2 linked regions of the Arabidopsis thaliana genome follow. The protein of the gene in region 1 interacts with the protein of each later gene in a pairwise test. Each region holds a gene or a part of one and is shown on either strand. Other genes may lie near its edges.

Region 1 (5,437 bases):
TTCAGATTAATTTGTTAACCAATAATTTATAGAAGTAAACGTCTTCTACATCTCAAAAATTTCGGACACTTGGCTCCCAAAGTATGATATCATCATGATATTAATATTGGTATCGTATGAGCGGTGACGTAATTGGTGTAGCAACGATAAAATGTTCTTAACAATTGATATTGACTAAAAGTATATACTATTTAAACCACCATCCAATCATTCATATCGCGTTAAGAAAAAACTTGACATAACCGTTTCAGTTTATCGTTATTCCTAAACCACATTACACAACGAGTTTTGGATAAACTCGAAGTCTTTTATATATATTATATATTCATTTATATATTTGGTAACACCAATCACAAAATTATATTATTGGTATAACTATTTAGCAAAATAGAACAGACAAGAAATTTTGAGTTTTAGTTGAGCACAGGTGTAGGGATCACATGTCGGGTGTTCTTTATGTGAGCTTTTTGTGTCCTTCTTCATACAGATGATACAATTATAACCAAATGTACCTTTTTCATACAAATGATTATACTACCCTAAGTCTTTGTTTTCGCTAGATTAGTTCAACTCATTAATGACATAATCAACATTCAACAAAATAGACTAAGCGGTTATGTTTCATTGTTTCTAATTTCACTTTCTTTTTTATTTAATGGAATTAATATCTTCGGTGTTGTTATTCCAGAGATTTAAAAATTTCAATACATTTTTAAAATTATGGTAGAAAAAGAAATTGAACTCCAGTGATATCATTAACTAATTTTATGGATTGTAATAATCCGTCTTTTTCTCCGGCAACAAAATTGACCAACTTCTCAAAACTCTTGGTCCAAGTACTAAAATGATAACCTTGTAGATGGCCAAAAGAAATGTTACGGCAACGGGTGGACCCAAAAAAAAAAAACATGGATGACTGACTAACTTTGGGAAACTTGTTAAACAAGTTATCAGAATTTGGATGAAGCTATTTACCAATAATTTCAGACATGCTTGGTGTTAAATTTTGAGTCATATCGTAGCTGTATTACGATCCAAACTTGAGTCTCTTAGCTCTGGGAAAGTGAGGAGGTGCAACATCAGTCCATAACCTTTTAGAACTGTCGTGAAGATACAAGCAACTCTCGCCCATCCGACACCCCTTGGGCCTGTTAAAATACATGCACGGTTTCTGAATCCTAACCTTTACGATTTTCTTATGATCAACTCTTCCTTTGTAATTGTTAGTTTCAGTTGTTGCCGGTTTGACTGCCCCATGTTCCCTAATGAGGTTCTTGAAGTAGTCTAGATCTTTCACGGGTTTTGCAGAAACCTGATCATCCCGGTTTGTGTTACCATTACGGATTTGAGGATCTGTTTCAGTTCGCGCTGACTCCGGTACCTTATTCATATTCCAAGAGCTGCAAGGGAAAAGGAGTTGGGTCTTTTGTTCTGAGACTACAACATCATCCCCTGTGCTTGGTTTCAAGGGAGCAGCTGTGTAAGAATCCTCAACTTTGATCCCAGAAGACAATGGATAGTTGTGAACAACCGGGGTGGGTTTCTGGAGGGTAAGGTTCATTGAGAGAGCACTGGACATGGGCTGATTGGGTTTGGGGAGTGGAGGATCTGTAGCACTGGACTGAACCGAAACAGGTACATTATGTGGCGCAACATTTCCAGGCATGGGAGGTGGGTTTCTGTCCATGGTTGTGGAGGTGACATGTTGAGGAGCAAGTCTAGGTTCGGTGATGTCAGTGTTTAGACTGTTATTTGCAGTTTCAAGTGGTTTACCTTTCATGCCATTGATCAAGTTCTCAACGATTTTGGGGTCACTGAGTAACTTGACAAGTAAATCAGGATCGACCTGAGAGCCCTGTTCCTTAGTTAAGGCAGACAAAGCTGCAGAAGCAAGAAGACTTAACTCTGGTCCAAGTCCAGAAACAGCTGCAGGAGCTTCGAAACTGTGGGAAGATTCAGCAGCAGCGTCACGTTCATCTTCAACGTGAGTGAGAGGGATATTAGGAGTTTTGCCGTCGTCATAGTGTTCTTCTTCAACAGCTAGTGTGAGCGAAGGACTAGAAGAAAACAGAGAGAATTTGATAAGTGGAAAAACATGACATGGCACAAAAGCAAATCCTCAAATGATAAAATTACCGAGAAGGGATCACAGAGCGATGTGGATAGAAAGCTTCCAAGACTTTAGAAATCCTAAGATTCTCAGAACGAGTCTCGATGCTTTTTCCACCACTCCCAACAAGCAAAGCATCATCGAGGACAAACTATTTTGGCGGCGAATAAAGAAAGACAGTGAGAGTTATATAAAAACAAGAAGGGTCACATTGTTTGCAATTCAAGAAAAGAATTATACCAATGGTGGGCGTTTCCATTTGATCCGAGGAATGTGTGAGATGATTCGCTTCGTTGCATAATCAGTAGCTTCAAAACCAGGTGGAAGATTCGATGCAACTTTAACGGGACAATCATCACTAAGAAACAACTTTACCTGTCCAAATCCTTTACTTAGTTAGTAACCAAATGCGTGTGTACTCAGCAGCCACAAAGTCCTTTTTTTTACATGAGTTATATATATAAGGGGAGTCCTACATGTTTCACTATTTCAGGAGGAACACAATCTTTCTAAAATTAGTGACCACATTGGTACATTGTTCTTCTTTTTTTTTGGGATTTCTTGCTGTTTATGTCCCTACTATGTAAAGAAGATTTCATAACATCAAGTCATCAACATTCAGGCACACAAAATTAATTAATTAGATTCGCCATTACCAGAAAAAAAAAAAAAAAAAACGTCATCTTATTAAAGTTTGTTGCTTTGACGGTGACTTATGGAAAAGGTTTTATCTTTGTGTAAATTTAAAATTAAGAATAATTAATCAAAAGCAATCAATCAAAATCAATTCGTTTGTTAACTGTCCGATTCCAACTTTGATAACTGGTAAGTCCGAACCGAACAATTACAAATTTGCAGGTAAGAGAAGAATAAGGAACAAGATTGGGTCGACGAAGAAGACGACGGGTTGGCTATACCTGACAAAGCATACTATCTGATGCCCACGATACTCTCCCTTTCTTCGTTTTCTTCATCATTACTATTTCTCTTACAAAAATTCAATCGCAAACTCTTTCTAAAGTCTATTCACTAACCACTTTCTCAGATTCTATACGAAACGAGAAATCAGATGTTAGACCAAACTCGACAATGAGAAAGACAGATATGAATAAGAAGAGAGGCGTCGGCGATACGTTTTGTGTTCTGTGGGAGAGATAGAACAGAGAGAGAGAAAACCCTAACCACACTTTTTATGACTTTTTGACTTTCCCAGTGGAGAAAAATAAATACTATCAAATAGAGAGGCGCTGATTGGCTCCCATTCCTAATCGTTTTTTTTATTACTTTCACCGATTTAATTTCCACCACTCATATTCTTTTAATATTCACAATTACTCCTTTTAACGTTACGTGTTTTTTATTTTTACGCTTTCATTTTTGAATTTTGAATCTAATAAATAGGACATGCAAGTTGAGATCGTGTGGGGAAAAAAAAAAATCAATGGTTATTATAAGGCCGAGTATAATATAACTAAATGGGTTAACTTAAGGCAAATTACTAAAGTCCACAATGATGTTTAGTCTGAACGCAACCCGTAGAGCTATATATATATATAAGCCCAATAAAATTAGCAGTAATTTAAAGCCCATCTTGGCCCAATAGATAGTAAAATATTCGTAATCGGTCAACGCTTGCCGGCGATTTGCCATACAAGTACAACTTTACGTAGCCATACAGATTCACCTTTAAAGTTTACAGAAGTAACCCTCTCTCTCTGTCTTCTTCGTCCTTGGGCTTTATTATATATAAGTCATCGAATCAGTTGACGCTAAAATCAAAAACAGAAAGCGCGACGTGCCCAATCATTTCTTCTGATCCGATCTGACTCTGCACCCACCCATCAATGGCCTCCAGATCTCTCAATGGCGATTCCGACATTGTGAAGCCGAGGAAGATTGCACTGGTCACCGGAATCACTGGCCAAGATGGATCTTACCTGACCGAGTTCCTGCTCGAGAAAGGCTACGAAGTTCACGGCCTCATCCGACGATCCTCCAATTTTAACACTCAGCGACTCAACCATATCTACGTTGATCCCCACAACGTCAACAAAGCTCTCATGAAGCTCCACTACGGTGATCTCTCTGATGCCTCCTCCCTCCGCCGTTGGCTCGACGTCATCAAGCCTGACGAGGTCTACAACCTTGCTGCTCAGTCCCACGTTGCCGTCTCCTTCGAGATCCCTGATTACACTGCTGACGTTGTCGCTACTGGAGCTCTTCGTCTCCTGGAGGCTGTCAGATCTCACAACATTGACAATGGCCGCGCCATCAAGTACTACCAGGCTGGCTCTTCGGAGATGTTCGGGTCAACTCCTCCTCCGCAGTCAGAGACCACGCCCTTCCATCCGAGATCTCCCTACGCTGCGTCCAAATGCGCTGCTCATTGGTACACAGTCAATTACCGAGAGGCCTACGGTCTGTACGCCTGCAACGGAATCCTCTTCAACCACGAGTCACCTCGCAGAGGCGAGAACTTCGTGACTCGGAAAATCACTCGGGCCTTGGGAAGGATCAAGGTCGGATTGCAGACCAAGCTCTTCCTGGGAAATATACAGGCTTCAAGAGACTGGGGTTTCGCAGGAGACTACGTGGAAGCAATGTGGCTGATGCTGCAGCAGGAGAAACCAGATGACTATGTGGTTGCAACTGAGGAATCACACACCGTCAAGGAGTTTCTGGACGTGTCTTTCGGGTACGTGGGGCTCAACTGGAAAGACCATGTCGAGATCGACAAAAGGTACTTCCGGCCCACGGAGGTCGACAATCTGAAAGGAGACGCAAGCAAGGCAAAGGAAATGTTGGGGTGGAAGCCAAAAGTAGGGTTCGAGAAGCTGGTGAAGATGATGGTGGACGAAGACCTTGAGCTGGCCAAGAGGGAGAAAGTGCTCGCCGACGCTGGTTACATGGACGCTCAGCAGCAACCTTGATATGGGGAGGTGGCAAAGAAGAGTAATCATTATCTGCTTTTTCATTGAAATGTAATTTTGTTTCATTTGTTGTTGTTCTCTTTCGTTGTTTCAAGTTGTTCAACTCCATACACTGCCAATCGTCCATTGTGGATTTTGTATCAAAAGGCAAACAAAGCATATTTATTACATATGAATTTTCCCCTTATCAGAACAATGGTTTCTTACTGGTCACAAGCGATTGTACAAATCGAAAAGCCTAAAGATGAAATGACAAAAGAAAACAATGATTTGTAACAAAAAGATCAATCAATAGCATCATCATGCATCTATGCAAAATCAGAGGAGATCAGAAAGTATGCTGTAGAACTACACGTATTCGATTCACCAATCTAACTACCATTAAGAGTATTTACTC
Region 2 (4,459 bases), on another chromosome or scaffold:
TTGTCCATCATATGGTTCATATATCGAGGTGAAAATAGTTTGATTTCCCACGAATAGTTAGTTATACATGTGTGTTATGGTCGGCTAAATGTTTTTTTTTATAATAAAGATACAACCTTGTATATCAAATTTTTTATTTTCAATTTTATTTTCTTGGGTTACTAGATAGAAAGAATTTGTTTGCATTCAAAGCCAAAGGTATAACCTCCACTATCGTAGGAGCATGCTAAAATTTAGTGATTAACGGATTAAAAGTTGAACCCACAAACTTTAAAAGTTCTAGAAAAAGACGAATTCATCTTTGAAGAAAATAAATTCAAAAATTAATCAATCATACTATTAATCATTATAATTATACACTAAACACAACCCTAAAAACACTGAGAAGTACATTAGGCGTAGGCCTAACGGCTATTAGCGCCCAATGTCACATACTTATCGACTTAAACCATTTTCTTTTATTCAATTTTTTTGTTCAGATCTTTATGACCATTGATTCATTACAAGAGACAAAAATGCAACTTACATAGGGAGGATTAGAGGAATAGTGAAAAAAAAAAAAAATTAGAAAACTGATTTCAGTTATTTCAAAATAAAATAAAAATAAAACAAGTTAATTATAATCTATTTGCTGAATTATGTCTCTTCTTGAATCCTCCTTATGGTTTGATTCAAAGCTGTTGCAATGTCGTCCACGGTATTCAGTTGGCTTCCTTCTTCAACCTGAACCAACACATTTTCTCTTAAGAAATAAAGATATACATAACAATTCTTGAAAAAAGTTGCAACAAACAAAATTAGAAGGATGTAGATAACTATAACAAAATATCTTTCTATTTGCTAAATATCTCCTGAAACAAATGGTGGACTCACTTCGTTGTCCGTACATATCTCATCTACAATTATGTGACCACCGAACATATATCCACAGTACATAAACATATACATAAACATATATAAATACACAACACCACGTATACAATTCGTGGATATAGATAGACACATATTCGTGTTTCGTTTCTTTAGGTTGGTCCCCTGATTCTTACAGGCACGATTAAGATACGCAATTTATTATTGACAAAAATAATAATCAAAATGATGATTATGAGTTTGACCCACAACTATTGAGGCCCCAGCCCTAAGTACCCAAAGGAGGTAAGAAAAAAACAAAGAGAATGATTTTAATTTTTCTTCACAACCTTTTTAAAGCCCAGGCATAACCACAATAGTACTAATCCAAAATTTCCCCCCAACAATAAGAGACAAAAAAATAAATCAACAAAGTGAAACCATATGCACCACACACACAGTCATTACTCACTTTAATCTCATGATTACCCCAAAAGCAAACAAAGTAATGATGAGAAGTTGAAAATGTACGTACCCTGACGCTGATGGAGTAGAGAATGGAGTTGTGGAGAGTGGTGACATTGAGATGAAGAAGAGTGAGCCTTAGGCTTTGTAAAGAAGTTATGAGCTTAAGAAGCTGCCTCGGTTTCTTCTTCGTCATTATCTTGATGTTCGCATGGCTTTCTGCCACCGTAACCTCTATCTCCGCCGGTGAAGATGAGCTTTCCGGTACATCTGATGATGACTTTGTAGAATATTGTGGGAAGCTGAAAAAATCTGTGAATGGACCCACTAACGAGCTAGTGCTAGTCTTGTCTCCTTTGGGATCATGAGTCCTAGTTCTCTTCGGCTCCATAGATTGTAAAATATGCTCTAACTCCTTCACGTAGTTTATAGCTCCTCCTACTATCGACGCTTGATCTCCCTTTACCACCAAAACCCGCTCATGTCAGATCATATAGTTATCATAAAGATTGAAAAAATCTTTGAATGTATAAATATACACACACACGTATCATTGCTAATTGCTTAAGTTTATTACGAAATTGTTCTAAAACATATCCCAATATTCTCAATCATACTCGTTCTAATTTTTGGTGACACATAATATTTTATTTTAAAAAATACATTAAAATATGTAACAGCAAAGATTATTAGTATGTATATAAACGCGTCACCCTTCCATATTTACGGTGGATTTTCTTGTTAATATATTGTATAAAAACATCAATATATATTCTCAGTCATTTTCATTCTATTCTTTTGTGTTAATATATTATGGAGAAATGAGTACTACAGCCAAGCAAGTAATAAAACAAAGACACATATACCTAAGAATGACCCTGACCAAATGATATATAGCATATATAAACATTGAATTAGTAAGTTACTCTTTGAGCATACGACGACGGCATTAGAGAACGGAGCACAGCCAGATACTCGTTCATCTGTTTCCGGCGATTTCTCTCGACGGCGATGTGAGTCATTCTCTGGTTCTCGATCTCTTCCTTGTTCTTGCAGTTTCTCGTTCTCCTCCTCTTCCTCCGGTGCTGTGGAGGAGGATGACTCTCCACATCAATGGCGGTAAGACCAAGCTCTTCTCCCAACGAAGGGATCAACAAAGGATACTGATGATAGTCTCGCCATTGATGATCGTCCTCCTTACCTTGTTCCACAAAGCTCTGTTCATGCCCTAACTTATCAATGTTGTTCTTCGTATCTTGAGCTACGAACTCTTCTTGAGAGTATAAGTCGTGGAACATAAAATCTTTGCAATTGGAGAGATATCCGAATGGATCTTGCGGGTATACGACAGCCTCTAAGGGCATTTTTTAGCCGGAGATTGTTGAAAAGAAAAATTCAGAATTATGGAAAAAATAAGAAAGATTGAGAAACCGAGAGAGGGAGAGAGAAGGAGAGAAAACAAAATTTAGACAGGAAGTGTTTGTCGCTCTCCTTTTTGTCTCGAGGGGGAAATAAAGGCAAAAGGGTTAAGCCCACTAAAGGAAACTAAGCATGGTATTAGTTATATGAAGATTTTTTGTAAATTGATTTACAAAATATTAAATTCTCAAGAACTCACCGGCATGGAGGAAGAATAGGAGAGTGAATCTTCAACAAAAATAAATATACAAAAGAAAGATATGAGAGTGAAAACCGAAATATGAGGATCAAACAAAGTGGTGTGATTTATTTAAAAAGGGAATTGAGAGAAGCTTTGTGAGGCTATTAATTTTTTTTTTTTTTTTTTTGATGCTCTCACAGTTGACCAAAAATAAATGCTCCCGCAGAGATCAAAAACGAAAAGAAAAATAAAACTAAAGAAAAGATGTATTTGTCACCAATATATATATAAAAAACACTGAAAAGGAGATATAAAGTGCACTTGTAATAATCATCCCAATTGTATTTAAATAACTTGTTCATAATAATTAGAGGTTAAGAAAATAAAGAAAAAAATTGTTCATAATGTTTTTAATATAAATTAGTTTTATTATATAGTAATTTTATTATTAAGATGTTAATTGTTTGGAACTATTCCTAAAAACCCATAATCTTTCTTAGTTCAAAATCAAATAAATAATAAATAATTTATTAAGAAATGGTAAAGCTGATATAGTGGGCAGTGAATTTATATTGACGTTCGAGTGAAAGAAAACTGGTGCTGGACTGCTGGTGGTGATCATAACCAGTTAAAACCTCTTTCGAGTTTTTCCGAATATGTATAGTGTAAGGATACACAGATGGTGATGGCTAAACTACTTAAAATTCTAAATATAGCAAAAAATTAATAGAAAAAACAATAGTTCGTTAGTACTAATATGTCATGTTGCGGATTACTTTAACCAAAAAAAAAGTTACGGACTACTTTAACAAATTTTTTTGTTGCGGATTAGCGTTTTCGCCAAAAAAAAATTAAGACGTGCAATTCTACGTCAGTCGGACAAGTGAGTGATACAATAAAACGAAAATGTGAAATTTTCAATTGGACCATAAAAATTCTAAAGCATTATATATATACAGTTACATGCTACTTGTAAACAAAGTTATTTGAGTTTCCAGTTAGGACGGTCTACGCCAATTAATTTTTAGTTCTACGCATTCACATCTGGTAACAATTTTTTTGGTTTGAAAATTAAAATTCTACCAGATATTACCTTAGAATATCTATCCAACTTCGTGGAATTAGATCCATTATCTATGGTTACTAATTACTATTTAGATACATAGATGCATATAGATAAATGTATACATTGCAGCGTCAAGTTTGCACGTGAGATAGTAGTAGACCAGTCCACAAGACCAAATAATCTGTTTGCAGGTTGGGGGTCGTCTAGTTACACTCATGTTCTATTATTTTACTTTAAACAAAAATATAATGTATTTCCATATCAAATATATGGTTAAGTATCCGATTAAAATTAAAAATCTTTAAAACAAATGTTTGTCAGAAAATACACAACCAATAGAAGATTTATTTTGGCCGGTGGGGATCACTTTATGTCAGGTTTTAACAAATTTGTTTCGTGATGTTATTAAAAATATATTTAAATCGAGATATTTACTTGCATGTTATAAAATGATGGTCTATTAAAAATCTTTTGTCACT

Evidence for each region.
Region 2: the proteins of AT5G66270 (region 1) and AT1G22490 interact in a two-hybrid assay, tested with the Arabidopsis thaliana proteins (one large-scale study listed by BioGRID).

Annotation. Positions count from the first base shown.
Region 1 is NC_003076.8:26,472,480-26,477,916, forward strand, and holds AT5G66270 (Zinc finger C-x8-C-x5-C-x3-H type family protein), read right to left. Parts: upstream 3,361-5,437; 5' UTR 3,088-3,360; coding exon 3,028-3,087; intron 2,486-3,027; coding exon 2,351-2,485; intron 2,262-2,350; coding exon 2,137-2,261; intron 2,058-2,136; coding exon 1,028-2,057; 3' UTR 607-1,027; downstream 1-606. Other genes in the region: GMD1 (GDP-D-mannose 4,6-dehydratase 1), read left to right, coding at 3,955-5,040; AT5G66290 (uncharacterized protein), read right to left, coding at 4,817-5,152.
Region 2 is NC_003070.9:7,937,812-7,942,270, forward strand, and holds AT1G22490 (basic helix-loop-helix (bHLH) DNA-binding superfamily protein), read right to left. Parts: upstream 2,815-4,459; 5' UTR 2,679-2,814; coding exon 2,241-2,678; intron 1,775-2,240; coding exon 1,232-1,774; 3' UTR 786-1,231; downstream 1-785.